Pelodiscus sinensis: one gene and its partners. The protein of the gene in region 4 purifies or fractionates together with the protein of the main gene of each other region. This does not show direct contact. Links are inferred from orthologs where the notes say so. Each region holds a gene or a part of one and is shown on either strand. Other genes may lie near its edges.

Evidence for each region.
Region 1: the proteins of NUP133 (region 4) and SEC13 purify together in Homo sapiens (affinity purification with mass spectrometry; 4 studies listed by BioGRID and IntAct, counting the BioPlex papers as one, with this or other methods). This does not show direct contact. The link is inferred for Pelodiscus sinensis from reciprocal best matches to the Homo sapiens genes NUP133 and SEC13.
Region 2: the proteins of NUP133 (region 4) and SEH1L purify together in Homo sapiens (affinity purification with mass spectrometry; 4 studies listed by BioGRID and IntAct, with this or other methods). This does not show direct contact. The link is inferred for Pelodiscus sinensis from reciprocal best matches to the Homo sapiens genes NUP133 and SEH1L.
Region 3: the proteins of NUP133 (region 4) and AHCTF1 purify together in Homo sapiens (affinity purification with western blotting; 3 studies listed by BioGRID, with this or other methods). This does not show direct contact. The link is inferred for Pelodiscus sinensis from reciprocal best matches to the Homo sapiens genes NUP133 and AHCTF1.

What each region holds. Positions count from the first base shown.
Region 1 is NC_134721.1:19,785,531-19,793,064, forward strand, and holds the start of SEC13 (protein SEC13 homolog), read right to left. Parts: upstream 3,003-7,534; 5' UTR 2,988-3,002; coding exon 2,940-2,987; intron 807-2,939; coding exon 762-806; intron 1-761. UniProt on the Homo sapiens protein: Functions as a component of the nuclear pore complex (NPC) and the COPII coat. At the endoplasmic reticulum, SEC13 is involved in the biogenesis of COPII-coated vesicles.
Region 2 is NC_134712.1:87,661,196-87,669,128, reverse strand, and holds the start of SEH1L (nucleoporin SEH1), read right to left. Parts: upstream 3,002-7,933; 5' UTR 2,845-3,001; coding exon 2,734-2,844; intron 1-2,733. UniProt on the Homo sapiens protein: Component of the Nup107-160 subcomplex of the nuclear pore complex (NPC). The Nup107-160 subcomplex is required for the assembly of a functional NPC.
Region 3 is NC_134713.1:134,045,715-134,053,712, forward strand, and holds the start of AHCTF1 (protein ELYS), read right to left. Parts: upstream 3,016-7,998; 5' UTR 2,766-3,015; intron 2,598-2,765; exon of another isoform or gene 1,612-2,597; intron 1-1,611. UniProt on the Homo sapiens protein: Required for the assembly of a functional nuclear pore complex (NPC) on the surface of chromosomes as nuclei form at the end of mitosis. May initiate NPC assembly by binding to chromatin and recruiting the Nup107-160 subcomplex of the NPC.
Region 4 is NC_134713.1:123,320,182-123,328,150, reverse strand, and holds the start of NUP133 (nuclear pore complex protein Nup133), read right to left. Parts: upstream 3,006-7,969; 5' UTR 2,931-3,005; coding exon 2,755-2,930; intron 924-2,754; coding exon 805-923; intron 1-804. UniProt on the Homo sapiens protein: Involved in poly(A)+ RNA transport. Involved in nephrogenesis.

The DNA of each region.
Region 1 (7,534 bases), on a different chromosome or scaffold from region 4:
GCTATTTCATATTTCTCTGACAGGTATATCACCCCACTACAGTAAAAATAAATAGTGCCTAAAAGTTAGAGCAATGGATAGAAAGATGGTACTCTGAGGCTCCATTCTCTGCCACTGATGCTGTAGCCCTGTGCAAAGCTACTTAATTGCCCCATTCTTAGCTTCCCTCTTTATAAAATAATATTTTTTTTAAATGCTGGCCTACCATACCCATGTACTCAGGCTTCATTAATCAATGTTTGTAAGTCACTTTGACATCCTTTCATATAAAGCACCAAGGAAGCGTACTTACTGAGAGAAGATGCTGTTCTTTGGGGTGGAAGACTCACATGCTGAAGTGTTATATTCCTTTTCTAAGTATACATGCACACACTACTCTCTCAATTTCATTCTTCTGTGTTCTCCAAGCAACAGCCTACGTTCTTAGGGGTTTTTTTGTTTATTTGTTTCACAGTAGCAAGTCCCAGACATCAGAATGAGAGCTCTAAATTGTTTCTCCTTCAGCCAACTCCAAACTGAGTCTTTTGCTTTCTTCCACCCAGAGCTGTAACATCCCCATACCTCCTTGTGCCTACCACCTACACACACAAGCTGTAACTAGAAGGTGCTGTATAGATAAACTCATTGAAGTAATCGGAATTGCACAGGTAACTGACAGCTGAATTTTCCCCATTACCACAATTTAAAAAAAAAATCAAAATAATTTTTCTTCAGTAAAGCAAAACTCTCAGCTTTTTTTTTTTTTTTAAATAAATACTTACAATCATATCTTCATGAGAAGTGTCCACAGTGTTAATTACTGATACCTGAGGGGGAAAAAAAATCACTTACATTTAGTACAAATGCCAACAGGGAGACTGAAACTGAAGTTTACTCAGAGACTATTTTATATTAAAATACTCAGGTAAGATGTTTTCCTCTAAGCTACACTAAGGATGTAACCCATTTCCATTCAATAAAAACTTCATCTCAGGTCAATCTTAGTTTACCTTTGCAATGTTATATTTAAGGTGGAGAAAGTACCTTTGCTTTCGTTCTGGGTTTTGGTAAGTGTGAATTTAACAGTGGCTTGCCCTCCATGGAAAATAATATCCTTTTTATTTATGGACACGATAGAGCCCAGGCTGTGGCAATGCAAGCTTCCCCACATTACCTTACCAATTCTTTGTGTCTCTGTCCTGGTCTAGAAGGGGAGGAAAGACAGTTTGATCTCCCTGACTAGTGTTTGCTGAGGCTATGAACAAGCGTGTCTCAGTGCCAAGAATTTGGAAACTGGACTGAAACCAAACTCATTTCACAGGAGCCACCTGTACAGCCATCTGTAGCCAGACACACCAACCCCCCATATCATCCATCTTATTTGCCTCTCTGAAGCATACAGGGCAGAGAAGGAGCAGTAAAATCAGCATAGTCTATGCTGGCTCATCTGATCCTGAGAAGCTGAAAAAACAGATATGTGGAGAGAGAGAGCAATTAAGTCAATAAGCTGGCCTCGAGGCTGCGAGAACTGCCCCAGCTGGCACCCATGTTGATTCGAACACACACACAGTCCCTGGGAGAGGAATTTCCCACTGAGAAAAGAATCCCCCAGTAATTCCAATTTAGTTATCTCTCTTACAAGTGTAAATTAAGTTCACAACTCCCTTGTAAGAATTGGTCTCACAAAAGGGAGACCAGCACTATTTGGCATCACAGATAAAAAAAGAGAAATACGTGACCCAAAATGGGTATAAAAGATGGGTTCAGCACACACTCACTTTGAGTGTCATTCTACCCTCTACCTGCTGGTCAGGTTAGGTGTTTGACCTCCCGAGGTTCTATAGGGACGCCCACCTCGTATTTTCATCTTTCCTAGGAATTGAGGGACCGGCCCTGGCCTGACATGCTGGAGTCGAGACGCACAGAAGGGGGTAAAAATTGTACCTGGATGTGGTCCTCTGTCTTAAGTGTACACATAGAAAGAGTAAGCTGTTACTTGGTACCATTATTTCTATTTTTCTATCTATCTTCTTTGTAACCATTTTTAAGATCTATATTTTGCTAGCAGTTAAGAAATAGAACAATAGCCATTGCAACCATATGATTTATAAGCTTCCTCAATAAACCTGTAACTGTTTAAGCTTTAACCTGACTCCTTCAGTTGCTGTAACAGAACCAAGCACAATTTAAAAGAACTTCAGCCGGTCTAAAGGGACAGTTATAGGAAGAGCTTGGGCGTTTGGATCTGTGTCACTCCCAGGTGACAGGGTCCACTGGGGCACTTCTCAGCCTTTCCTGGGCTGCCCGCTGTGAAGGAACTTCCCCCCTCTCCCGTGTTCTAGCAGCTAAAATCTGAAGTGTAATAAGCTCTTCCTACACACTGGGACGTCTGTTAGCCTGTTTGGCTACCCTCTGCGACGGGACCTCGGTCCTAGCAGTAAAGTCACGGACGTTAAACTCTCGGGGCTCCTTTCAGCCTTCTGGGCTGCCCGCTGCGACGAGACTTCGTGTCTTAGCAGCTAAAGACTTAGGAGACACACCCACACACACTGCCCTGACCGTCTGCTGACACCATCAGAGCCCAGTGATTTCAGCTCCTTAGTCAGACTGGACAGTGTAGCAATGCTGAAGTAAAGGTCATCCCTTGAAACACTCAGTATCCCTAATATATGTTGAGGATGAAGGACAAAAGGATACCTTCACCAGACATTCAAAATCCGGGACTTCCTCCACATTCTGACTTCATTTACCTGGCACTGCTCACTTCAAAATGCCAGTGTCCTGTTTTGGTTGGCAGGGTCTGCTTTTTGTATCTATTCTGCATCTTGCTAACAGTCCCTTTGTGAGAAAGCAACAAGACCACTAGGCAGCATCTAAAATAAGTTACCAGAGCTCCAGAATTTTCACTCCAGTTTAGACAAACAGGCCATAAATAAATCACTTCACTGCTCAGTACTTACCTGTAAAGTACCTCCAATCTGTGAAACAGGGATAAGGATACCAAACATCCCTAGGATGTAGAGTGCTATATAAAAGCATGTCTACAGCTGTAATGTTTCAGTGAAGACATGATTATTCCAATAGGCAAGATGCTACTATCGATGGAGTTTATCCACCTCAGGCTGTGGCTAGACTGCAGGGTTTTTTCGAAAAAAGTAGCCTTTTTTTGAAAAAACTTCACCTGCGTCTAGACTACAGCCACATTCTTTCGAAATTAAATCGAAAGAACGTGGCTTTTCTTTCGATGGGGGTAATCCTCATTTCATGAGGTATAATGCCTTTTTTCGAACGTGTTTTTTCGAAAAAAGGTGTTCTTGAATGCAAACAGGGTTTTTGAGAAACAGAGCATCCAGACTGCTTGAGTGCTCTCTTTCGAAAAAGTGGCTCACTTTTTCGAAAGAAGAGATTGCAGTCTAGACGCTCTCTTTCGAAAGAGGCTTTTTCGAAAGATTCTTTCGAAAAAGTCTCTTTTGAAAGAGGCGTGAAGTCTGAGGTAGACATAGCCTCAGTGATAGGCAGTAGCTATGTCATTGCGAGAAGCCCTCCTGCCAATAGAGCGCTCGCTACACAGGGGGGCTGGGTCAGTATAACAACCTCATTCAGGTTGGACTTTCCACCCCTTAAGCAACTTAATTATAATCAATATGAGTTGATAATGCAGCGCAAGCCCCAGGTGTACAGCAGGCAGTATCCATATCAAGGAAAGCCCAGCGTGGTGGTTAAAGTTCACGGATCTTCTAAGTAGGCACTAGGCTGTGGTGCAGCCCAAAGCTGCAGCTGGGGCTACGCTCCTGCTGCCTCTTCTAAGATGTGTTTGTCCATCTCCAGCCTACACTCTACTCCCCCCCCGCTTTTTTATTAGTGGCCGATCACACGGGGGATGCCCAGGAGCACGGGGCTTGGAGCCCTCACCTGGCCAGGGCCCTGCCGCGGGAAGCTCGCGAGCCTACCACAGGCCGGGAAGTGAGGGGCCCGCCCGCCCTCCGGGTCAGCGAGAAAGCGGCGAGACCCCCCAGGGAGGGCGGCGAGAAAGGCCCGTCCCGGGGGGGGGGGGCAAGGCAGGGGCTTGGAAGGAACCTGATCGCGCCCCTGAGACGCTGTGTCCCTCCCCGGTGGGAAGGAGCCGCTCGCGGGGCCTTACCATGGCGGCGGCGGGGCGGGCCGGGCTCGTGCGGCTGCTACCGGCGGCTCAGACGTGGCAAGTCCCGGCCGGGTTCGCGGTGCGGCGATGAAATCGCCCCGGTTGGGAACATGCGCCCCACGCTCTTCTTCCCGTCACGCCAAAGTTCCGCCCGCCGCTCGGGCCCAGCTCCCCGCCCAGAGCCGCCTCAGGCCCCGCGCCGCTCAGCCTGTGCTGCTGCCCAGCCCCCGCGGCGAGCTGCGCTGCTCCGGCCTGCCCTGCTTCTTCGCGGCGGGCCCTGTGGGTGCCCCAGCACGGCGCATCCAAATACCGAAGGTGGAGCACCCACAGGGCCGCCGCTATCAAAGAACTGCAGTTACTGCAGAGGGTGCGTGACCCTCTCTTCTCTCCAGCCTGGCGAGCATTCACCTCTCTCAGATGAAGTGATGAAACAAAAGGAAGGGGAGTTTTACTTACTCCCTAAAACGTCAGTCACAACGGCCCTAAACTTCCCCTGGACCCCATAGACTATCGCAGTGTTTCTCAAACTGTGCTCCACGGAGCCCCAGGGCTCCTCAAGACATCTCCAGGGTCTCCCCGAGGTTGACAAACTGGAAACAGGGATAGGTACAACACAGAATCAGTGGGCTGCTGGGGCTCCGCATACATTTTTACACATGTAAAGGGATCCGGAGCCCAAAAAGTTTGAGAACCACGGACCATAGTGTCTCCTGCTGCTAGATTTCCCACTTTCCCCAGATTAAGGGATTGCCTTCCAAATCACCCAGGCTACAGAAGCCAAAAAAACCCAAACAAAACCAAGCCCCCCAGGTAATACCTAGATGTAGGGTTGCCAGGTGTCCGGTATTCTACCAGACAGTCTGGTATTTGCACTCTTTGTCCGGTAAAAAAAATCAGATTCTCTGATTTTTCCAGCTGCGCACCGGACGGAAGCCTGGCAGGGGCGGGGGGAGCGGCTGGAAAGTGGGGCCACGATCAGCGGTAGGAGCCTGTGATTGCGCAGAAGCCTGGAAGGGGCAGGGTGTGTGGCTGGGACTCCCAGCCACTCCCCCCGCCCCTGCCAGGCTTCTGCACAATCACAGGGGCCCAACGCCCATGGTGGCCCCGCCTCCTAGCCTGGGAGTCCCAGCTAGGAGGCAGGACAGCGATCACCCCTCTGGGCACTTCAGAAGCCTAGCCAGGACGGGGGGAGTGTCTGGAACTCCCAGCCACTCCCCCTGCCCCCGCAAGGCTTCTGAAGTGCCCAGAGCATTACCAGGTGGGGAGTCCCCAGCTGGGAGGCGGAGCCGCGATCGCACTTCAGAAGAGTTCTGGGAGTCCCAGCCACTCCCCCCACCCCAGCTAGGCTTCTGAAGCGCCCAAATCGATGATCGTAGCCCCGCCTCCTAGCTGGGACTCCCAGGCTGGGAGGCGGGGCCGCCATCGGCACTGGGAGCCTGTGATTGCGCAGAAGCCTGGCAGGGGTGGAGGGAGTGGCTGGGAGTCTGCTCCCCGCCAGGCTTCTGTGCAATCACAGGTTCCCAGTGCCGATCGTGGCCCCGCCTCCCAGCCTGTGAGTCCCAGCTGGGAGGCGGGGTTGCGATCGCTGCTTATCCCGCATTCCTTTTTTTTTTTGCTCGACCAAAAAATACCTGGCGTCCGGTATTTTTTGGGAGACCATCTGGCAACCCTACCTAGATGGATGGCAACCCTACAACAGGGAGTTGTTCCTGATTAATAGTGTGGACACTGAGCCTGAAACAAGAATGCCTGCTTTGGTTTAGCTGAACCATAGCACAGTTAATTGGGAACAACTTCACATGTGGATAAGGCCTAAACTACTGGTTTTGCTGTCCTATCATTAACTTAATGGCTAAGTCTACATTAGCATTTTACTGCACTGTAAGTTTCTGGCTCAAGGGTGTGGAAACCCCCTCTAACCAGTGTAGCAAGTTATAGAGCTGTAAAGGGCCAGGGTAAGTCAGGCTATAGCGGGAGTTGTTAGCTATTCCAGTCATGGTGGTGGTTTACCAAGAGCACTGGGAGAGCTCTCTCCCAACACCCCTGCCATGATCACACTGACTGCTGTGTTACAACACTTCCACTGTTGCTCTTTAAACTTTTAAGTGTAGACCATGCCAATGTCTTTGAGAGAACAGCACTAGGAGGTTAGAGCTGGCATTAACAGGTGAGTAATACACAGAATAGTGCACAGGGTACAACCATGTTGTTAAATAGGCCAAAATTTCAACTGAAACAGCCTCAAACTTGGTGGAAGTTAACATCTGGCTAAAACTATAGTGGTTTGGGATTATCTTTGTAACCCCAGTTCCAAACACTGCTAAACTTTGGCCAGCACGCACTAGTCTTTCTAATACTACTGGTTGAGAGCCATGGCAATGGTATTGGGGTTACATCAAGGAAAACAGACCCCTGACTTCCAATTTTGCAAATAACTGTTAAAAGTATCTTCCAGTTGTTAGGAAACCATTGTTAGTATCTAAAAGGTTAGTCTGTCAAAACTGCTACCTGCAATGAATGTTCCAGTCCTGTAGTGAGCTTCTATGCAGCCACATAGAGCTCATAGCTGGAGTAGAGTTTATGGGAGGAAAAGTCTCCTGGATTCTAAATACACTTAGGTTACGTCTAGACTGTCATGATTTTCTGCAAATGCTTTTGACGGAAAAGTTTTCCGTTTAAAGCATTTGCGGAAAAGAGTGTCTAAATTGGCACAGACACTTTTCCGCAAAAGCACTTTTTGTGGAAAAGCGTCCGTGCCAATCTAGACGCGCTTTTCCGCAGAAAAAGCCCCTATTGCCATTTTCGCGATCGGGGCTTTTTTGCACAAAACAAATCTGAGCTGTCTACACTGGCCCTTTTGCGCAAAAGCTTTGCACAAAAGGACTTTTGCCTGAACGGGAGCAGCATAGTATTTCCGCAAGAAGCACTGATTTCAGACAGTAGGAAGTCAGTGTTCTTGCAGAAATTCAAGCGGCCACTGTAAATAGCTGGCAAGTTTTTCCACAAAAGCAGCTGATTTTGTGGAAAAACTTGCCAGTCTAGACGCAGCCTTAAAGTCTGCTGGTCCCTAAACAAGAGTTTTGCCTTTTTGCATCTCAAACCAATCAATAAAAGGAATTTCCGTGGCCATTGTGTACAGAATAATTGCATATGTGAAACCCTAGATGGCCACAGACTTGTTATGGTATAACAACAAAATTTTAATCATAATCTGTAACTTCAAAAGGCTCAAAGTATTGCAATAAAGAGGAGGGCAATAATATATAACAACTTCCCTTGTAAAAAATGTTACTGAACATCTAATGCCAAAAATATATACATAAGAGAAGAAATAACTGTAGAGGAAAGTAGTAGTCATAACAGAAATCTTGTGGAGGAGGGAGAATGTTTTGAGATATCAGTTATGAAGGGGGG
Region 2 (7,933 bases), on a different chromosome or scaffold from region 4:
TGGGAGGCATTATACATATAAATCTTTTCAAGGTTCTCTGATAAAAAGGTACTTTTTAAAATGCAAAGTAGGGATATACAATCCCATTTAATTAGTTAACTGGTTAGACATTAAGTTTGACAGATTAACTGATTAAACGGGTGTGGGTGGGGGCTGTTCCAGGCCGCTAGGCTCCCATGGGCTGGGATCTGGCAGCCTCGTGCAAGGAGATGGGACAGAAGATGGGGTGGGGGAGAAAAGATGAGACTGCTGGCTCCCAGCTCGAGTCGAACTGCTGGCTGGCAGCACCCTCTTCCCCCACAAGCCTGCCCACTGACAGCACACAGGGCTAGGAGCTGGCAGCGCTTCCCCCACGAACCTGCCAACTCACAGCCCACAACCCTGGGTGGGCTGGGAGCCAGTAGCCATCCTGCTGCCATTCTCTCCCGCTTGCCCCCACCCGCCACCCTGGCCACACACACCAGCCCTTCAGGCAGCTCCCTGACACCCATTAAGGCAAGAGTGGAGAACTTCAGGCCTGAGGACCACATGCGGCCCTCGGCTTGACTGGATCTAGGCCCCCCCCCCCCCCCCCCCGCTCAGCGCCACCCCCCATCATTGGGAGCTGATGCTGGTGCTCCAGCCCCCCTCCTCCACCCCTGCTACCTCACTGCAGGGCTGGAGCACACAAAATCTATTAGGCTAGGCCCCTCTAGGCTCTGGTGTGTGAGGGGAACATAAGGAGTATCTTTCTCCTTCTCAGTCAGGGGCCACATCAGTGTGGGGTTTTTTTTGTGTCCTCCCCAATTGTGTGCAGCCCCCCTCTCCCTGACTGATTTTTCTGTGGTTCAGTGACCCCAGACCCAAAAAAGGTTCCCCACCCCCACATTAAGGAATGCTTACCAGGTAACCATTTGCATCTCTAATGCAAAGTTACATTATAGAGTTCAGGCAACGAACACTGGAACTAAAGCTCTATTTTGAAGCATACTTCCCCCCCCCCCCTTTAACAGTCACCCATAACCTTCCCAAGCACATTACCTTCACGGATAATTTTTACAAACTTGTTCTCAGACCATAGTTGTTTAAGTTTGAGATAAATTAATCCAGTTATTTTTGAGTAAAAGGAAAGCTACAAAAACATGACTTCAAGACTTTGACCAGCCTTTAATTAGCTTCATATAACTTAAAAGCAGCCAATACTATATATTCCCAATTTGCCATGATTTTAATACTCACTGAGGGAGGAAACAGCGAATTAAATATTAAAGTACAAATGTTAGGTATCGTGTAATTGAATAGCCATGTAACCACATGAAATCTTAGTGGTTACAGGACTATTCGAGAGTCCCCAGGGGTCTATTTGGAAAACCATGGGAGGGTGGGCGGGCGAAGCCAATACACTCCCAGCCACATTCTCGGGGAAGCTCCTGCCTCCTCATGCTGCTGCCTCTATGTCAGAGGCAGCAGCAAGGAGCAGCTGCAGCCCCTGTCCCCAAAGGAGCAGAGCTCCCCATGGACAGAGGCTGTTCCATGGGATGCAGAGCAGTCTGTCTGTGGGGAACTCAAGACCCCCAGCAGACAGAAATGGCTCTCTCAGAACACCCTCTGTCCACAGCAGATCCAGGCTTACCGCAGACTGCAGCTGCTCTGTGTGATATGGAGCCGCCTCTATCTGCAGAGAGTTCGGCCACTGAAGACAGAGGCTGCTTCGTGTCAGCTTCCTCTGCCTCCCCCACCCCTGCTGCCTCTAGTGGCTGGGGGTGGGGGAGGAGAGGGCACCAGGGAGCTAGTGCTGGATGGAACCAGCTTTAAGCCAGCTCTCCGCAGCACCAGCTCCTGCCTGCCTCCCCTCCACTGCCACTGTAGGAGGCACACGGGGGGAGGTGGGGGGGGGGGACAAGTCTGCAGGAGCCAATATGCATGGGGAGCCTGCTTGAAAGCTCCCCATGTGTACTAGCTCCCACCTGCCCCTTCCCCCCATACTACTGCCTCTATCAGAGAAGGCAATGTGGGTGCTGGGCAGGCAGATCTGGTGGTCACGGGGAGCTGACTTAAGAGGCATCGGGAGGAAATAGGTGTAGTCGACAATTTTAACCACTAAACCCAGGATAATTGATTACCATTCACTTGTCTACACTGTGACATCCCTATATGAAAAGAGTATTTTTAAATATGTGCAAATTACATAATCCAACTCTGATCCTCCTGCCAGGTAACACTCCAGCGTCTCCGGTAAGGTGCTCCAGCACGACGTTTCTTTTGCCCGCAGTCTCTCACCCTTGCTCCCTGCAGGGCTTTGAACAGGACGGCGGGCTCGCTAGCCAGCAGGCCGCCGACACACGTGGCAGGGGGGAAAGGCTGGCTGGCTGCCGCCCCTGCCCCGCGGCGCTGAGGGGGCTGCCAGGAAACGCGCAACACGCGCACGCTGGGGGCACTTGCTGCCCAGGGAGGCCAGAGCGAGGCTCGGCGAGCAGGCCCGGCCCAAGGCGGCGGCGATCTCCTCGCCGCACCGGGGGACGCGCGGCGGCCCAGTCGCGGTGGCTCCTCGGCGCCCCAGCCGGGGGCCCGGGAGACATTCCCGCCGCCTGGGCCTGGCGCGCGGCTCGGCTGGACGCGCGGGTCACCCCGCCCCGGCGAGCCCAGGCTGGCGCGGGACATCGCAGCCCCGCCCGCCCTCCCCGGGCCCTCCCCGGCAGCGAGCGGCTGGGCAGGCGCGTCCCGGCGGGGAAGGGGCCGCCCAGCCCCGCGCACCTTGACGCTCTGGTCGCTGGAGCAGGTCGCCATGCGCCGCCCGTGGAAGTCGAAGGAGACATCGTGGATGAGGTCGCGGTGATCGGCCGCGATGCTGCGCGCCACGAACATCCCCCGGCCGGGCCGCGCCTCGCTCCCCCGCCGCCGCCGCCGCCCGGGACAGAGCCCGCCCGCCTGCCCGCCCGGCGTTCCAGGAGAGCGGGCGGCGCGTGCGTGCCAGCGGCGCTTCCCTCGCGCTCCGCCAGGGGGCGAGCCCAGGCGTCACGCGCCGCGCGGGGGTGGCTGCGGCCGCGAGCGCTGGAGACTCTGAAGGGAGCGCCAAGTGGCCCCGCCTCCTGCTGCGCGGCTCTTCTCGGGGCTGATGCGCCGCCTCCAGCCCAAGCGACCTTCCAAAGGGTCTCGTAGGGCCATGGAACTGGAAGGGACCTTTAGAGACCATCTAGTCCAGCCCCGCCCGCATGGCAGGACAAAGCACTGTCTAGGTCTCGGAGCTGCAGGGGAGAGCCCAGTTAGTCTGTTACAGAAAAAACAACAAGAAATGATCTGGTAGCATAGGCATGTGTGCGCAGCACATTGCATTAGGGTGTGCGCCCAGGGAATTCTGTTTCTTTTAAAGGCGAACATTTATTGAAGACTCAATCATAAAGGACATTATTTTTATTCATCAAACAAACTAAAGAAACTAAACAACTAAACTTAATTTTTTTAAAATGGGTGCAGCGGGGCTGGCCGGGGAAGATCGGGAGGAGGAACCAGCCAGCAGGAGGTAGAGCTGGGGGCGGGGGTTGGGTACAGAGGGCCTGGTCCGGAGAGATCAGAAGAAGAGGGGAGAACTGGCCATTGGAAGCAGGGCTGGCGGCGGGTGCAACGGGGCTGGCAGGGGAAGATTGGGAGGAGAAGTGAGGGAGAACCAATTGGCCAGCCAGGAGGGAGCAGGGCGGGGGGAGGAACATATCAGCGGGTGGGGAGCAGGACTGACCCAGGAAGTGCAGATCCCAGGGCGCTCCTGCCCCCTGCACAGTCCAGGTGAAGCACGAGTCAGTCCGGCTGTGGCTCCACCACGCGCTTGACCAGCGCGCAGGAACGCAGACCGGGCTGCCCCTCCTCCTCACATGCAACCAGGCTCCCAGCACCGATCGCGCCCCGCCTCCCAGCCACTCCCTCCACCAGGCTTCCGGATGCCCAGTCGGAAAACCAGAAAATACCAGCCATGTCTGGTATTTTCTGGATTTTTTTTTACTGGACAGAGCCCCAAAAAACCAGACTGTCTGGTAGAAAACCGGACACCTGGCAACTAAAGACATTAGGGTGTGCCTGCACACACCCGGCATACCCCATATGCACGCCAGTGTCTGGTAGCATTTTATAGACTAACAAAACATGTCGATGGTATCATGAGCTTTCGTGGACATAGCCCACTCATAACTCCGGTTATCTGAAGAAGGGGGCTGTGCCCACAAAAGCTCATGATACCATCGACATGTTTTGTTTGTCTATAAAGTGCTACCAGACCATTTGTTGTGGGTTTTTTTTGTCTAGGTCTACACTGCCGCTTTTTTTTTTTTTTTTTTGAAAAAGCTACGCAAAATGAGCTCTGCATTTTGTGTAGCTTTTTTCTGATTCTTTTGTTGGAAGAGGCTTTTCTGACATTTGGCACGTCTAGACTGGGCCAAATGTTGGGGGGAAAACCCTCTTTCGGAAGCCCCCTTATTCCTTGTGGAACGAGCAATACCGGGGCTTCTGAAAGAGTGCATTTGCTCTTCTGCAGAAAAAGCGGAAGATCAAACACGTTCCCTGGATGCGGAACAGTTTTTCCAGGATACAGAAAAACTGTGTAGTCTAGATGTAGCCTCAGTCTTCTCTTTTCTAAACTAAAAAAGCCCAGTTCTTTCAGTCTTCCCTCACTCACCTCATTCATCTCAGTGGCCTGGCTCCCAAAGGCTTTATACTCTGCAGTAATTGTCTGTATGTAAAGGGACTGGTGGCCCCTTACTAGGTTGTCCAGATTTCCCTGTACTGAATCCAGGACACCTGGAAAAATTACTTATTCTAGCAAGCTTAACAGCAGTTAATTGTACAAACATTCAAATTAACATTAAGTTGACCAAGACTCTGTTAAAAAGCAATACTGCAGAGTTGGATTTTTTTAATTTACCTTCTTTAAGGCTTTATGGTTCACACCAGGAAGCTGGTCATCTGAAGAAGCGGGCTGTGCCCACGAAAGCTCATGATACCATCTACATGTTTTATTAGTCTTTAAAATGCTACCAGACTATTTGTTGTTATTTTAAGTTTTACCAGGAAGGAAGACACTCCCCTACTCCCCACCACAGAGGAGGAGGTGGCAAACTCCTGAAACCTTTCTCACGCAATGCTTTTTTTCTAAAAAAAAAAAAAAAGTTGCCGGTACTCCAGGGGAAAAGTTGTTGAGTTCTGACTGGAGGTGCTGGTACTGCATCTGGAGGTGCCTGTCAGGGCCGGATTAAGGGGGGGGCTAGCCGGGCCATGTGCCCGATTGCAGCTGTAAGGTGTGCAGCGCGCCAGGGGGCAGGGCCGCGCATGCGCCATGCACCTGGGGCAGAGCCATGCATGTGTCACGCGCCTGCTGCCCGGGGCACAGGAATGGCTCAAGCCGGATCTGCTTGACCAAGTGTCAGTTCACACTGACAAGCTGGTGCCAGACTGGAGGTGAACTTATGACCTGTTTGCTCTTCATTCTACCCTAGGGGAATATCCAGTCTTTGAACATTGCCCTCATTTCAGGCTGCAACTGAGATCAGGACCCTGCTGTACTAAGCATGGTGCAAGTATACATGAAGAGATAAATCTTTGTCCCCTCCTCCCCAGATCCAAATCCTCAAAGTTAATATAAGACCATAATAATTACTATACTGGGTCAACTCAAATGTCCATCTAGCCCAGTATCCTGTCTTTTGACAGGGGCCAATCCCAGGTGCTCCACAGGGAATGAACAGAACAGGTAATCATGAAGTGAACCACCCCCTGTCACCCATTCCCAGCTTCTGACAAACAGAGGCTAGAGCCACCATTCCTACCCATCCTGGCTAATAGCCATTAATGGACTTTTCCTTTATGAACTTATCTACCTCAATTTTGAACTCTGTTAAAGTCCTAGTCTTCACAACATCCTCTGGCTAGTAGTTCCACAAGCTGACGGTGCATTAAGGAAAGAAATACTTTGTTGGTTTTAAACCTGCTACCTATTCATTTCATTTGGTGACCTCTAGCTCTTGTGTCATGGGAACAAGTAAATAAGTTCTTTATTAACTTTCTCCACAGCAGTCTTGATTTTATAGACCTCTTTCATTTCCCCCTCTTGTAATACCAAATAAAAGCAAGCAGGATCTTATGAGGGGGATAAGGCAAAAATCCACATTTATTGTAAAGATAATAATAAAAAAATAAAGAAAAGATAGAAGCAAACAACATTGTTTAACTACTTAACCCTTATACATATAAACATTCATTCATCCATTCATTCAGGTTCTGTGTATTTGTTATAGTTACCAGCCTGGGAGTTGCTTGTGACAGAATACTGGCCAGGTATTCTGTACACAAGTGATGGTAGTGGGGAGCAAAGTCCTGATCAGATGCGTATCTGAAGCTCCTGGTAGGCTGGCAGCAGAACCTTGGACTCTGATTCCATAGTTTTTTAGTCCAGTTCTTATAGGAATTTCTTCCTATGCCAGTCTATGGAAATTGCTGCATCATGCTGATGTCTTCAGGGTGGCTGCCAGGTGCTCGTCAGTGATCTCATCGGGTGGACCTCCAGTACTTGGTTTTCTCCACTTGACACCTTTTGGTTGCACTGGCACCTGATGCCTTCTTCAGCCCTTTGTTGCTGTATTCTCAGGCTGGCACCTCTCAGAACCATTCATTCATCATACAAGCACTCTCTCTCTTACATACATTCCCTAATTAATGTTTCCTATACAGTATTTTGTATAATAATAAAAGTTGTAGTTACAAAAGTTTCTGGGTGGTATTGATTAAAACAGTCTCTGAGTGCTGAGTAAAGTTACAATGTTTTAAAGAGAACAGGCGTCAATTATGTAACAATGCCCTTAGTCAATTACAGGGCTTGGCTTCCATAGCAGAGTTAGTGGCTTGACAATGCATTGTTCCAATGTATCTCTGCAATGTCAATTTCAAGCAGCTCCCTTGCACAAGCTTGAGCATGCCCTGGGACGGGGGGGGGGGGGGGGGGGGGGGACGGGGGGGGGGGCTGTTTCTGGCTATATAGGATTATATTCTTAACAGTTCTAAGTTACATGACCTAATACATTATATTCTAAAGGGGCAATAATAATAATAAATCTAAACATTTAACAATCTTAACAAATAAGAAGAAGAAGAAGAAGAATTAATAATAAATCTAAACACTTTAAGTTGTGGGGAATAAATTATGGGGAGTCACTTCCATTTGGGGGAATCATTTTCAATACATTAATATGTTATCCCTACACTCTTAGTTGTCTCTTTTCCATGATGAAAAGTCCCAGGCTACGTCTACACTGGCACCTTTTCCGGAAGGGGCATGTAAATTTCACCAGTCGTCGTAGGGAAATCCGCGGGGGATTTAAATATCCCCCGCGGCATTTAAATAAAATGTAGGAATAAGTAGGAATAAGACCCTCCGGAAAAGGGCACTTTTTCCGGAGGATCGGGGCCAGTGTAGACGCTCTTTTCCGGCTTTTTTAAAAGCCGGAAAAAAGCGGCGGACATTTTTATTTAAATGCCGCGGGGGATATTTAAATCCCCCGCGGATTTCCCTACGACGACTGGTGAAATTTACATGCCCCTTCCGGAAAAGGGGCCAGTGTAGACGTAGCCCCAGTCTTATTAATCTTTCCTCGTATTGCAGCCATTCCTTACTCCTGATAATGTTTGTTAATTCCTAAATGCCACTGAAATGGGTCTGAGCCCCCTTCATGAAGAAAGATTCGATCAGTTGCATAGTCTTTGTGAAACTTTTGAATTTTTATACGATATTGGAAATATTAAAAATCAGTTTTCTAAAGAAGATCTCATGAAGCACTGCCAGGACCTACATTTAGCACTCAGTACTGATAACTATGCTGACAGTGATGGAGTAGAATTGTATGATGAATTAGTAGCTTTATCTGAGCTAATAAGTCCTAAAACTTCTCCTCTAAAAGTATTAGAATTTATAGCAAGA
Region 3 (7,998 bases), about 11 Mb from region 4:
TATCAAAACCCTGGATGGATAAAACTGATTTTCTCTAGTGGGTGGCAGTTGTTTGGGAGCTATTGAAATAGACACACTCTGAAGTACATGAAGCTAGAACTACCTGGCCTATTATTGGCAGCTTTTAGGTAACACGTGCATGTGGAACATTTTAAAAATCCTTTTTTCTCTTATGCTTTGTTCCTATAATTAAGATTCAAAAATACTTTAGTTTAAGAAGGCTATCTGGTGATTACACTCATCCTGGTTTCCAAAATCCAAAGTGAAGAACAGGAAGTGTTCAGAGGGCTGGTGGAGTAAGGGAGCCAGTCAGACCTGCTGGGTACACATGGTAAATACTGTACTATAGCCTCGGACCAAGTGTGAAAACTACAGAACTCCAACCCAGGAGAGGTAAAGACATAAAATCAGATACTTCGGGATGGGTGTTTGGGACAGCATTCAGACACATCAGATAGGCAGAGGTACAGCTAGCCCTGTAAGCATGACAGTAGAATGTTCCTGGCTACAAAAAAACAGGCAGCCAACAGGAGAGTCTGCCACAGGACTGCCCTACTACCTGAGTAAGCCAGAACTTGAGTTTCCAGCTTCCTGCTGCTCCAAAACAATAATTTTTGCAGCTTACACATCAACCAATTTTCCCTTATAGGACATACTTCAGGTCTAGGAATATCATGGGCTATTTTGGAGAAAGTCAATGCAACATGCCTACTGCAGAACAAGTCAAAGAAAGGGCTCAGAGACATACACATAAGGGGAATCCTCAACATGCTCTTTTGCTATGAGGACTAACACAGCGGGGAGAAAAGACATCATCCAAGATATTCTATTTCTACTTTCTTCATTTACTCAAAATCTCAACATTACAGCAACTATCACACTGGACAAGGATAAACAATTTTTTCTGGAACCTGTCAATATTTCAATCAGCCACAGAAAAAAATCTGTTAAAACAATTCGAGGCACTGCAGCTCCCAACTGATGCTGATCCAGGGAGCAGGGGACATAACAGTTCGTACTTAGGGAGGCAACAGTTATTACTCATCAATCTTAGGGCGGGAGTAATGGGCGGTTAAGATATGGCTTACTAACAGTAAAAAGTATGTGTAAAACTCTAGTATATGGGGAGAAATAAGAAGAGTCTGAAGAAAGGGAAATGAGAGAAAATAGCAAGTTCACTTTGGAAAACACCATCCTTCACAATTTATATTACATAAAGAAAACCATTACAAAACTATTTTTCAGTGGTATCCAGTTCTATGGCTTTTTCTTTTTAAACCAGGAAATATTTGATGAATCCTAGAGGGACATTAGGAAGAGAGGAAACTTTAAGCACATGATCAATGAGCTGGCAATTCTGTCATATCCTCTTATAAAAAGAAATAAATAAGCTTATGATTTACTGGTGGTAGCAGTTGGAAAGCTCATCCCTGCCTGTACTCAGAACAAACCCGCCTAGGCGGGTCCCAGGAAGTTTTGAATGGTAACCTTGATATTTAGTATAGAAACTAAACATCACTGTAATAAAGCCACTGGCAAAAGAAAGCTTGCCTATAGACAAATATATGAATCATCAGACCTAATTCACTATTGCTGTTACCCATTACTTACTGAGAATCAAGAGCAAGTCTTCTCCATCCTTACAATCAGCCAACCAAGCTTCTGCATTAGCTTCAATCTCCCACCTCAGCATTTTTTTCTACCATTGCAAAACATGTGTTTAAATAACTTAATTATAGCCAGGCGGGTGAAGAAATTTTTGGGTGTAAAAAGCACGAAAATTATAAGCTCTGTAAAACTTAAAAGAAAAATTCAGTTTTCTCCAAATTTCAATTTCTGGAGTACCTCAGGGTACTCCTACCACAGGTTGAGAAACACTACATTAAACCATCCCTTCCCCTCCCTATCAGACAACCAGCCTTACTTGAATTCTGATTCCAGCCCTTGCTGCAGAGCCCAATTTTCACAGCACCTTCTGGCTTTTGTGTTAGAAAAATTATCAGACAGCAAAGGTTTAAAAGTATTTTTTCTTACTGATGGAAGTTCTGATTTTATGATTTACCTATAGCTTATGAAAAGCAGAAGTGAAATTTTGGTCTGTTTACCACCATTACAATCAGCAACTTTGTACCCTACCAATGGATACATACTCTTAAAAACCATGCACCCAACTGCAGGCATTAGAAAGTTGCACCAACTCTGTGGAGACACACGATGTAGACCAAAAGCCAAACATGCACGGGAACATCACCAGAACAACCCTACATTCTTGGAGGGTCTCCGATTTCACGTGCGAACCTTCCCCTCCTCGCCCACTCCCTAAAACTTCGGGTTATTTTCTTCTGTCCAAAGAGCCCCTTGGATACAGTCTGATGCGGCACACGGGGGGAAGGGGAAGCAGTGTGAGCACCAGGGAGGAGCCCAGCTCGCGCTGCTGCTGCTGCCCCGGGGCTGCGATCCCTCGGCACCATGTGCTCTGCCCGGGCCTAAGCGCAGGCGGGGCGGCACCGAGTGACCCTCCCGCCCCCGGGCTGCACGGGGCGCGGGCTGCGGCCGCTCGCTCGCTCAGGCACCAGGCACCGCCATGTGCGGCGGCGGCTGCGCGGCCCGAGGTCACTTACATAAGGAGCCGGCTCCCCCACCCCCGCCGGGCTCCCAGCGGCTGCCCCCGACCGCTCCTTGCCCGCCCTCCGGCCTGGGTCCGGCGCCCCCCCGGTGCGGAGCCGGCCTAGGCGAGGGGTGGCTGCGGCCCCTCCCGCTAGTACCTGCTGGGGCGGGTGTCACCGCCGCCTGCCTCCCGCCCGGCCCGTCTCCTCTCCCCCGTGCCGGTCAGGGCGGCGGCATCTCGCCGCGGCGGTTAAGGCGGTCGCCTGCCTCTCCCGGGCCTGCCAAGCTCCGCCGCACTCGGTGTCTGCGCAGCAACCCAGCCCCCCCCACGCTCGCCGCTGTGAAGGGAGGGGGGGAATCCGATCTCGCGAGAGCAGCCGCCGCCGCCGCCACTACCGCGGGAATTTTCAAATTCGCAACCTTTCCCCAGGCTCAAGCGGCCCTGAGGGGGAGGAGCGGGAGGGGAGTCGGAACGCAACAGGCGCAGAACTACAAGTACCAGCATGCACCGCTCCATCCACTGCCCGGCGGGTTCCAGTCGCCCGCAAAGCTGTGCATGCCGGGAAGTGTAGTCTCTTCAGAACTACCGAGTTGCTCATCCCTTCTGTCAGGAAGTGCTGTTCTGTGGCCACCCCTGCAGAAACTTGAAGCCTGTCTTCCTTCCTGTTGTATTTTTCTCCTCTTCCTCTTGCCTTTCTTTTTCTTTTCCTTTCTTTTCACACCTAGTCTCTCTCTCACTGGCACAAGCATTCAGTGTCTGGCCTAGGGAACACATCAGGGAGGGCTTATTTGTTCAGAAAAGCCTCTTCCAGAAACCTCTGGCAGACAACAGTTGTTGGATTTCAGTTTTTTTCTTTTTTTTCCCGTGCTTTGATGTTAACTTCCTGAACTCAGCTTGACCATATCTAAATTACAATGAGAGCACACATACACTACCACTGTCTGCAGAATTAAAATTTTAAAATTAAATCAAATACATGCACAGCCCTTATTGTGGCCACAAAATCATTGTAATAGCAAAAGGTGGTTTCATGACGTTGCTGCTTAGCTTAGGTCCAGGAGATGACTTGGGCAACAACAGAGGCAGACACAGAGGAGGAGCCCCCTTAAAAAAAAGGAAAGGAAGGGATTGTGTAGCAAAGATCCTCCTCCCATTGCAGCCTTTAGGAGGTTAGCAATTGAAGTTAAAGTGCCTTACAGCTCCCTTCATTAAGTATCTCACTGGGCATGGTACTTCAAATGTATTAGGAACCTACTAACCATAGGATTACAACAGGATGCAGTACCCATAGTGCCCTGAAAAAGCAACTCAGAAAGAATCTCAGTACCCTCCCTTTCTTCAACAGCTAGGAACACAGGCTGGGCATGTGTTTCTCACTTCAAGCTTTTTAGTAATTTCCTATCCCTCAAGATTGACACTACTTCATTATGGAGATACTATGGCTGACATGCAAAAGAATAGGATCTCACTCCATCAGCCCCAAAGCTGACAGTGCTTACCGTCATTCAGACTCCTTTAAAGAAAATATATTATTTTCCTGATTTTAAAACATGCTGGTAATCCATTGTGCTGAAAATATGGAATGGACTAAGGTTAACATACTTCTTACATATTTTTCAAATGGCAAAGTGGTGCAGGTGGTGTCACTCAAAACAAAGCCTTTTTTATTTCTTCTTGTAGAAAGGTATTGTCACAGACATGTATTTTAAGGGAAGAAGGGGACCATTATGATGTTCCTGTCTGACCTCCTGCGTGACACAATCTAGGAAATTTTGCTCAGTAATTCCTGCATTAAGTGCATTACATCTCACTGAGTTACAGCAAATCCTTTAGAAAGACTCCACTTCTGATTTACATACTTCAAGAGATGGTGAATCCAGTCTATCCTGTTTTGGATAAAATGTTCTGGTCTTTTCCTCTTCAGGAAAGCATCATTATTTTTATAGATGTTTAAGCCCTAGATGTGTTAAACAGAGATTTATAAATGAAAAAAAAATGTTTAAACACAAAACAGTCCCCCAAAAGCTAACTATTAAAAATTCCCCCTTTTGGGTATGCACACCCAGTCCAGGTTATTTTTAGATCTGACATGTCAGAAGAAGCAAATGCATCCCTGTCAGCTCTGTAATACAGGTGAGATTTTTCCATTCAAGGGGATCTTATGATCTCAACAGGGCATTGCCTATGGAACTTGCTATAGGCTCCCTTTCTTGTCATATTCTAGCTAGCAAAAGTAAGATACATTTTTGCAAATTCTGATTTAATGTTTTAAAAACTTACGTTAATCTAACAATATGTGTGGTAAGTGCAGGAGGTTAAAATGTTAGATTTTTGCATTTTAATGTCAAAAATAGTTTTACAGACCTAACTGCAAGTTTGCTAACAACCAAAAATATTTAAATAAGACTCAGTTATAGCTAGTTCTCAAACCTGGGTTCTCCAGCAGCAAGGGCAACCTAAGCTAGTGAGTAGGCCACATCAGTGACCCTCCTTCATCTCAGCGGGCCGCAAGATTGTTGCAACCCAAATGGTCTCCCAGGATAGGGTAGTTTTGCTAACTACGCTTGCTAGAATTTGTGTGCTGATTGAACCATAGCTGTGCTTTGATTTTATGCAGAGGGAGCACATGGCTCTCACAGGGATTTTCACTTCATCTGAGGATCACCTTGGGGCTTAGGTATGAGACAGGTGTCTGGACACCTGCCAGTGGCATTGTGTGCATGCTCAGAGACTGAAACTGTGGGTGACTAGTGATTTTTAGGAACCTGCAGAATTAGAGGCAGATGGCAGTTCTGCAGGGATTTGGGCACTGCTATGCTGATTTAATTCTACAACCATGTGCAGTGTAAAGTCAAGGTCAATGTAGATAATTTGATGCTATCAGCAGAGACACCGTGTTGCTTATGTTGAATGTTACTGGCTTTCAGGAGCCATCCCACAATGTCTCACACTGACAGTACAGTCAATACAAGCACTCCTGGTGAGGATGAGTACTGCTGACACAAGAAACGATAAACTAGCGATGTAATTACTGTAGTGGCTGTACGCCGAAGTGAGTTAGGTCAGCTTTGTTTTTTGCCACCCAAAGAAAGAACACTTTTACAGTTTTGTGTAAAAGAGCTGTGTTTGCACTCTGTAATTAAGGTATGTCTGAATGACAGCCATCTTGTTGGTTTCTCGTGTTCCAGTGTTTTTCCATTTATATTGTTTCAGTAGGGATAATAAACTGCACATTATGTAAATGAGCACCAGGTAACTATGCCCATTATCCTCTCTAGCGTATCTTTTGTCAGTTTAAATTGAATACATTTGAATTCGCTATTATCAATTCTTGCAAGAAGAATATGGAAATCTTTGATGCTTCCTTGCATTTAACACATATTCGCTTTTTTTGCCTTCTTTCCCCACTCCCCACCCTCTGTAAGTGTGCTTTGTGAGGAGATTTTTTACAAATAATTTTAAAGCATTTGTACCATTGCCTCTGTGATTTATCAAAGAATAAACCTGGGTGAAAAGTGGTGCAGCTTGAGTTCCCACTAGAATATTAAATACTTAGCATTTATAGAGTGTTTATTTATAGATCACAAAGTGCTATATAACAGCAGCACAAATGGAATCAGAATGTAGCTTCTCTGATTTTCAGCCCTGTGCTTTCTCCCTGGACTTCTTCCACACTGAGTTTAATTTATATTTATTTCAGATCAGGAAGCATGACAAAAAAGGAAGTGATACACAAAAATCTAAATTGATATGTAATCTGGTTATTGAGACTGTATAACTTATATTGGATTTATAATACTTTCCTGTTTGAATGTATTGATCTAACTAAAAGGGAATGGGGAAGAGCATACAAAGTCTTTCCAGATAAAGTCACCTGTGTACACATTAGAAGGACCACAGTGATTTCTTCCAAGACCCTATGGTCAGCCTTGTTTTGCAATACTGAGATCTACCAGATATGGAATGGTAAGCATTGGGGGCATGCAAAGCTGGTTTATTGGTTTTAATAACTTTTTTCTCTTAAATCTGTGTGTTATAGCTAAATACTTCACCTTAAGGAAGCTGTTTAGTTACAGATTACCACTGTTACAGCCAATGTAGGGTATAGACTGCAGAGTTTAAGAAGAAAGTCAGAACTTCTAAGATGATCACAGTTGGTATACAGAGACTGGCCACCCAATACCTAGCCTGACAGAGAATGGAAACATGCATTGATTTATTCCCAAGAGGTGGTGCACTCGAAGAGACCAGAAGGGGTGAAGTGTACAGTTATCCCAGAAGTATCTTGAGTTTATTAATGAATTCTATATAACAGTCATACTAAGTAAAAACGAGTTACCAAACTCGCCTCTCTACCTCTCCCAGAATAGTCCACCTGAAATTGTAGCATAATGCTACAGATCAAAGACATTTCTACTTTTTTTTTTCTCCTGAAAAGTGGGTAAGAAATAATATAACTAAGGTGGCACAACAGTAAGGTTGCACTAGTAAGCAGTCACAAAAAAAACAAAAACAAAAAAAAAACCACCACCACACAGAAAATCCCAAAGATAAGGCTGAAAGTGCAACCTTAATCCTACTCCCAACTGCATGCTTATGATACATTATCTAATTAAATAATCACACACTGCTTCAACCATTAATAAATGCGAATTTCTAAATTATAAACATTGAGCCCTATTGAGGCATGGATAAGGATTCCATGGCTAAGCATGTTTCATTTGGCACTCAATACAGGGATCCATACAATCTCTTTATTTTTTGTGTATTCTCCCCATACACCTTGTACTTTTTGTGTAAAGAAGGAATGTTCTTGGAATTAGAAAGCAAATTAATTTATCGCTTAAAATTAGTTTAAAGAAATGTAGCATATATGTCTGTATTGATTTTGTTCCAACTGATGTTAAGAAAATAACACAGATACTTCAAACTATTCATGTAGCCCAAGTGAATTGAAATCTTGTGTGTGGCTGTATTTGAAGAAATTAGGTTGTGAATATGGTAAGTTGTTGATTGCTGTATTCAGTTTTTTATTAGGAAAGTTACACAGACAGACTGAGGCCAGGCACACATGCAACTATTAAACAGAGCCAGAAAACTGATTCAGTCAATTAATATGCTTCTCAACAGCTAATTTGCATGCAACAATCCAAGTGATTGTAATGAGTCTGTGGTATGAGAGAGGCAGACATGTGTCAAGGGTTCCTCATGGGTAGATTAAAAGCTGTGACAGCTGGGCTAAGTAAAGTCTGTACAGCTACGTGCCAATTTGGGCATCAATGCATAAAAAGCTTCCAATTGTACTACTGGGGCAACTGAGATGGGGTACTGGGAAAATGCATAGAGCAGGCTCATGGACTTGACTCTCCCTGACCCTATCCATTCTTTAC
Region 4 (7,969 bases):
CCTTTCACCTGCCTTGTGATTCTCTCTTGTCTATATGGTTTTATGAGAAGCAATCCCATTCTGGGTACAGCCCGTGTCCCTGGAACAACCAAACCCTTACCTTGGTTTAAGATATGATAAGTGGAAGCTGCATACAAATTTGGACTAGTTCTTACCGTTTAGGAAGAATTCTTAAATAGAGAGACAGACTCATGCACAAACGCTCTCAAATATATCGTAGATTGTTTTGAAATTAAAGAATCTGGATCAATGGATACATTCCTATTACATATAAAAATACAGACCTGTGCAATGCACCTTTTCAGCACAATTGATATCAAACATGAAGTGCAAAACAAGGAAAAAGTAAGGATGGTTGTTCTTTTTTAACTTAAGACTTTGTAAATGACTGTTACCAGTGGCCTAAACATTTCTTTCTTAAGCTTACCTAAAACTGTGAGTGGCAATATTTAAACAACTGAATATATGGATCAGCAACCTTAATTTTGACTGTTTTTGTTGTGCTTGGTCTGTACAGTACTCTCCAAATATAATTAAATAGTTTTGCTTTTCACAAAAAGTCCAGTACTGAATTGATATCCAGATGACTGACATTTGAAAGAAAATAACTGAATTGTTCTGATCATGAACAATTACAGTCTTACGTGTTTTGAAGCTTATAAATGCTCTAGCAAGAGACTTCTTATATACAATTAAAAAGGTGTTCTCTTCTCCTCCTCCTTGCTCAAAAATATCTATTTAAAAGTATAAAGAGATTACCGTATTTCCTTTATCTGATCTAATTCCCATGTAATCATTCCTTACCTTCAGCCATTCTTAGGGCCTCCATAACCTTAACAGGGAGAGAGGATCCAAAAGTCTTAACGTCATAGTTGATAGTTTCACTGGCTGAAGGATGTTGTAATACTCTTGTGGGTGTTGCTCTAAAAAAAATATACACATAAACTGTGATTGATTTGTTTCCATTATGTCTCCTGCAATTTTAAGATATACTTATTTCATTTTCAATTATTTAAAAGATACTTGATTGAATGGCCAAGTTTGTGAAAAACAGGCACAAGTGCATATCTTTAGGAGCTAACATTCAAGTCACTAAAGGAGGTTTCCCTTCTTATATTAATTTGAATGGAATAATGGGCCAAAGGTGTTAACATAAACCAGTGACAATCCAACAATAAAATATTAAAAACAAAGTTTCGGGTTTGGCATACAGTGACTTCAGCCTGTTTAGTACCACAATATGCATCACAAAGTCTTTTCAACTTTTTATTAAAGACATAGAAAAGAAAGAAAAGAGTTAAAACATTTGAAATGTACAGGCAGTCCCCGGGTTACGTACAAGATAGGGACTGCAGGTTTGTTCTTAAGTTGAATTTGTATGTAAGTCGGAACTGGTATATATAGTAGGGGAAACTCTAGCGAAACATTTCTCCAGAGCTCAGTTTTATTCTCCCACACCTCACTTCCCTCAGTCCTTTATTCTCAAGCTGAGGTGTCTGCTGAGAAAAGCCGCTCCGCGTCTCCCTGGTCTGCTGGGGGGGCGGGGGGGGGGGGTGCTAGCTTCGCGTCTCCCTGGTCTACTGGGGGGAAGCTGCTAGTGTGGGGTTGCCTCACCCCGTTTGTAAGTAGGGATCCGATGTAAGTCGGATCCATGTAACCCGGGGACTGCCTGTAATGCATTCAACAAGATTTTCATTTCAACGTTATTTGTTCCCTTTCTCTTTAGCTGGAAAAAGTTTTAGAAGACAAAAATCCTTTGTTTGTGAGCCTTTTAGATAATAATAAAGATAGTATTATCTGTCCTGTTGGGTAAGAGAGCAGTTGACCAATGCCAGGTGCAGCTATTACTGCTATTAGAAGTTTAAAACTAATTTTGGGAAAAAGAAAAGAAGTTTGTTGATACGGGCTGGAACTAGGGATGTGAATGGTTAACCCCGACACCCTGTATTGCTGCTGCCTCTGTATCAGAGGCAGGGATGTGAGGTGGCAGGTAGAGTTGGTCTAAAAATTGGCTCCCCACGCAGACCAGTTCCCACCTGCAGCCTGCTGACTCGGATACAGAGTAAAGATGTTAAATATCAGTTAACTGAATAGCCAATTAACCGAATGAATTCTTATTGATTACTTGACTATTCTATAGCTCCCGGGGGTAAGGCCAACAGCCAGGGTGCTCCAGCCCCTCTCCCAGGGAGCCGCCTGCCACTCTGTGCTGCTGCCTCTGTAGCATAGGCAGCAGTGCTGGGTGCCAGGCGGGAGCTAGTCCACAAGGGAAGCCAGTTTAATAAACAGCTCCCCTCATGGACCAGATGCCTGCTGCCCCATGCTGCTGTCTCTGATACAGAGGCAGCAGCTCAGCGTGGCAGCAGCCCGTCGGGAACAGGGGGGTCTGAGCTCACGGATGCGGCACAAGACAGAACCGAGCCAGGCTGCCCGCCTGGCTCCTAATGCACTTTAAAGGCAGAGCCGCAGCAGGGGAACCAGCGCGTGCTGGGCTGCTGGCCAGGCTGCTAAACAGTTTACTGGGGGGGGAGGGGGGGTCGTGTGGGGGGGAGGGGGGGTCGTGTGGTCTGTAGCACTAACCTGAAAGCTTTTGCTTACGGGTTAATCGATAACACTGATCCATCCCCAACAGCCGGGGGAGGGGTGACTCCGCGGAGCCGGGGGGGGGCGGTTTTTAAGTGCCCCCCGCATCAGTTTCCGCTTTACCCCCCCCCCCGCGCGGTGTGGGGCGCTAAGGCCCCGCGGGGCACTCACCGCGCCGAGAGGGAGCCGCTCCGCCTCCCCGCCGGGGAGAAGAGCCCCGGGGAAGCGGCCGCCGGCACCAGGCTCTTCCTGCCGCCCGGCCGGGGGATGGAGACGGCGGCGGGCCCGAGGGTCCTGCGGGCCGATCCGCCCGGGGTGCGCGGGGAGCCGGGGGCGGCAGGGAACATGGTGGGCGGCGGGGGGGGGGGGGCGAGGAAGCGGCGCGAACCCAGCAGCGCCTGAACGATCAACCGCCGAGGCCTCGCGCGCGCGCCGCTGACGTACAGGAGCTGCACGCTCCGCTCCGGGCGTCGCAGCTGCCTACGTCACACTCCCGGCCCCGAGACAGGGCGGGGTCAGCTGGGACGCAGGCGCGCGCCTCCTGCTCTAGGGAGGAAGGCGGGGGCCCGGAACGGCGGGGTGGCTCGCGCTGCAGGATCCAGCCCCTGAGCGGAGCGGGGCAGGGGGCGGCTGGCACAGCCTGGCTTCTGCACCACGCGGGCCAGTGGCGGTGACTGCAGCGCGGGGGGAGCCCACGTGACATGTCGGGGAGCGGAACTCTGGCTGGGGCAGCCCCAGCCGCCCTCTCCTGCTGCACAGCCCTCGGCGCCGGGGGCCGTCTCAGCAGAAAGGAGCGGGCTGGGCGGCGTTGGAGTGTGTCCGCTCACACGAGCTCAGTCCATCAGCGTCTTACTCTGGGGCTTGGCTTAAACTTTGGTGTTAGGCAGGGCAGCTTTAGGGGCAGGTGCTGGGCGGGGGCTTTTTTTCTTTTCTTAACAGCAAAAGGGAGACTAGGATGTCGGAAGTATCATGTTTCAGGTATTCCCTCCCTGGATTCATTTCTCACTGACCGCTAAGAGCGTTTTGGACCTTTTGTAGAAAATCGTGGAACCTTGCAGACTTTCTGAGAACTATGTGGACAGAACCTCTGGTGCACCTTTGTCATCATACATGATCATGCATCAAACTTATGGAATAAGCTACCAAGCCAATAAAACATAAGTTATTCAAAAGTTTAACAAATGAAGGTGGGGGGCTGAAGACACTCCTTGCGTGGAGCATCATTTGGGCTAGGACCTGCCCTGGTGTCAGGCCATCCCCCTTTCATTCCCAGTGAAAAGAAAAAAAAAACAGAGATTTCCCTACCCCCCCAACTCCCTGAATTTCCCCATCATTCATCCAGTGGTCAACTGGTAACATGCAGGGCTCCCCATTTAGTTTGTTGGAAATTTACTTAAAATTGAAAGAAGGCACATACAGCTGTGTTTTATGCCAGTTTCAGTGGATTCCTTTCAGTGATGTTGGCCAACCTAATAATTGCAAAATACGATTTGTAAATAAGGTGGGAATGAGCTTTCCCCTGACAGCCAGTAATGAGCAGGGACGCATGAGGGAAAGGCTTCCAGATCAGACTTTGTTGACATAAACATACCTACTCTGCCTAGGTATCCAGCAGACAGACCTGTGTTGCCCAAGTGATCAATCTTGGCTATAAATCACTTGAATGTGGGATAGTGATAGAAATGTAGCCGTGTTAGTCTGCGGTAGCTGAAGCAAAATGCAGGACAATGTAGCACTTTAAAGACTAACAAGATGGTTTATTAGATGATGAGCTTTCGTGGGCCAGACCCACTTCCTCAGATCAAATAGTGGAAGAATAGTGGTGACTATTTTCTTCCACTATTTGATCTGAGGAAGTGGGTCTGGCCCACGAAAGCTCATCATCTAATAAACCATCTTGTTAGTCTTTAAAGTGCTACATTGTCCTGCATTTTGCTTGAATGTGGGAGTAATTAAATGTTATTCTTATTTGAGTAACGGGCAGCGAAACTGTTCTTAGTTTGTCCTGACCAAGGGGATCACCCACAGTGCTTAATTAGTGCCAGTGTTTGCCAAAGCTATGCCCTAGCACATTATGGGCTAAGTAATGCCTAAAAAGAGAAGAGCCTATGGAGCCTAATCAGTTCTATCTTTAAAAAGAAAGAGGCAGGTCAAACAGAGCCTGAGATTCTTAGGCAGAGCTGACACTTTTAAATTTTCTTTTTGTTCTCAAATTCAGGACTTTGTCCCTCAGAAGATTGCAAAGAGTTAACAGTCTTTCTCTCAGAGACTTTTTTTGGAAAGCTCATCTTTCAAAGCTTAACCTAATAAGAAAAAGGAGCACACACTGATGTTACTACAACTATCGGTTTATTTACTGGAGGCGGGAGGTAGGAAGAGTAGGGTAGGAAGGAAGGGAGGATTAAAGATACTGAACAACTACAGTACACAAACACACACTCATACAGGTGAAAGAGAGATCTGATGCATTGTTTTTACCTTTTCCAGATGCCAAAGGTCTGACCGGACCAATGGACCACAAGCACAAATATGATGTTGATGAAGGACTCAGGTAAGTACCCTATCTATATACCCACCCTGATTGTATGTCTGTCCTATCTAACTTGGATGAATTCTGTGTATGGGAGTGCGCTCCTTCTCAAAATAGCAAAACCCCAACAATGCAAAAATGTTATTCCAAAACTATGAAAGCTAAGCTGTCATTCAGGCTAATGACCAGTGTCCTAATACAGAAGCTCTCCACTGAACACCCTTCTCTGTCTCCATTCATTGGGAGCTGCAGGCTGTCATGCTTTCAGATACTCAAGGACACAGTTCTGGTGAGTAGGCTTGTTTCAAAAGTTTTGGACTTGGTATGCTCCAAAGATACTCAGAAATGGGGCTTGTGCAAGTCATGTTTGCTTTTTGGATATGAAGCTTAACAGAACTCCAATTTTAAAACACAGGCATATTTAATACAACTTTTAACCACTGAGCCACTTAACTTTCAAAATATATTGCACCTGGTGCAAACGCTGTTTTCACTGTCCTGTAGGACTGCAGTGATAGAATATGAAGTTCTTATAAGGAACTTAATCAAAATAAGCACGTACATATGTCTACCGGAAAACACACTCCAGGACTTGATACAGCAAACACAAAACTAAACCTGCTATTTTTTTTCCGGGTCTGGAGCACCCACGAAGTTAGAGCCTGTGTTCAACACTAACTGTTGTGACCAAGAGGCACAAAAGATGAATTCCTACTTCCTTCATCCAGGAAACATACCACAAAGATTGTGTCAAATCCTTAGTTATGATGAAGAAATTGAATCAATCCTTCATTCATTCATCATTTGATATTTCATTCTGTGTTCAAATTCTCTATTCTGTCCTTATCACATAGCAAATCCATTGCTGGTAGTGCCTCACTCCATTCGACTGTTTGTTTTATAAGACAGGCATCTATAAAAGCTACATAGAGGTTGAGTAGAATCCAGAAATTGCAGTTGTAGATCTGTAAGAATCAAATCCATTTATTTGTGCAGCTGCCTTAACAAACACTTCTTGTCCTCTTAATCAATAGAAGTGCCTTAATTAATCAACTTGTGAACGGAAGTCTTTGCTTTTTCCAGTACATTTTCAATCAGTTATACTGTCATCCAAATGTAGCTTTTACTGCTGGGCAAAGATCTACTATTGTGCTTTGTGCGCTCCCTCTGCATCCAATCAAAGCACTGCTACAGTTCAGTCAGCACATCCTGCAAATTCTAGGTACATACGGGCAGTTAACCAAAATGTTCTCCCAAAATAGTGTAGTTTTGCTATGACTATCTTGCGGCCTACTGGGACCACTCATGCAGCCCACTTACTAGCCCAGGTCACCTATTGCTGAACAAATCTAACCAAGGCTGCCAACAGTTGGAAGAAGCAAGACTGAGGGATTACTGACTAAGGGGATGGTTGTGCAGAACAGGCAATTGCCTGGTGCATCCATGACTGAGAAAAACCTAGGAAGGAGGCTGACTAAAGAGGCTTGGGAAAGTAAACAGAAAACCCTGCCTCTTGTGTCTTCCTTGGGGAAATAGGCCTTTGTATGTTCCTTGTAAATAAATGGGGGGGCGGGGGACAAATCAAATAAAAGTACCTATCCCTCACTCCCACGTAACTAGGGTAACCTGCAACACATCAAATTTGACCTGAGTGGCTAGGCAAATCATTCTGAAGAAGTGGGTTGTGCCCACAAAATCTCATGATACCATCTACGTGTTTTGTTAGTCTTTAAGGTGCTACTAGACTACTTGTTTTTTAAGTTTTTCCTGTTACAGACTAACTCAGCTACCCCTCTGGAGCTTAATGGCATAAATAGTCCCTCATCCAATCCAGTATTGCATCTCTAATCGTGGCATTTATCAGATCTGCCACAGGAATGATCCACCTTTTCTTACATGGGCTCCATATATGATTTTCCCCAAACTAATCCTCCCCCAAAACACCCAAGTCCTTTAGATAATTCCCAGGATGCATCAAAATAGTTGCTTTGGAAATCAGTGTAATGGTTTATAAGGCATACATAGCAGCAGCAGACAACGGTAACTAAATACACTAATTTCAGTGAAAATTACAAATAACTAAATCAGTTCATTGCAGTGAAAATTAGGCACCCATGACTACTTGCTAAGAAAGCCTCCGAAGATACAAGCTACTGTTTCAGAGGGAGGCAAACTAATAATCCAGTGAAACACGCCATACTTCTAAAATACCCTTTACTGAGGGCATGTTATTTATTTTTGGCCTGATGATAACTGTTGCACAACAATGTGCTGTTTTACTCACCCTTCATCTTGATGACATTAGAAATAAGGAAAGCGAAGTTATAGAAAAAATGGATATGCAGTACATATTAGGACATTTAACTTTTCCATTCAAAGCAGACATTTAACTACACTACTTTGTATGAAGAATACAGATTTGGGGAAAGTACACTCACAACATCTACCCTAGGGAGAGTAAAATTGAATTGTCTGGGGATTTTTAACAATCTGTTACTCAGTTAACGAGAGAAAATTAAAGGGTTTTAAAGGCATTTTTTCATATCACTTTTTAAAATGTATACCTTGCTAACAGCTGGTTTGCATCAGTCACACTTTTCACAAAATCATTGCTAGTATTCTTCAAACATACCTTCAAAGAAATTAGGTTGCAAATCAGCAAAGCTATTGTTTTTTCTCCCATCTTTTCCATTATATTAATAATTCTCCCACATTAGAAAAATCTGCTACTACTTATAGTGTTTAAAAACGTAATAGGATTGAAGCTACCCAGTAGGATTAAAATTGATTTGGAGAGATGAAGAGATCATTTAAGCTGCATCTCCATGGGTAGATACTTATAACAACAGACCCCAA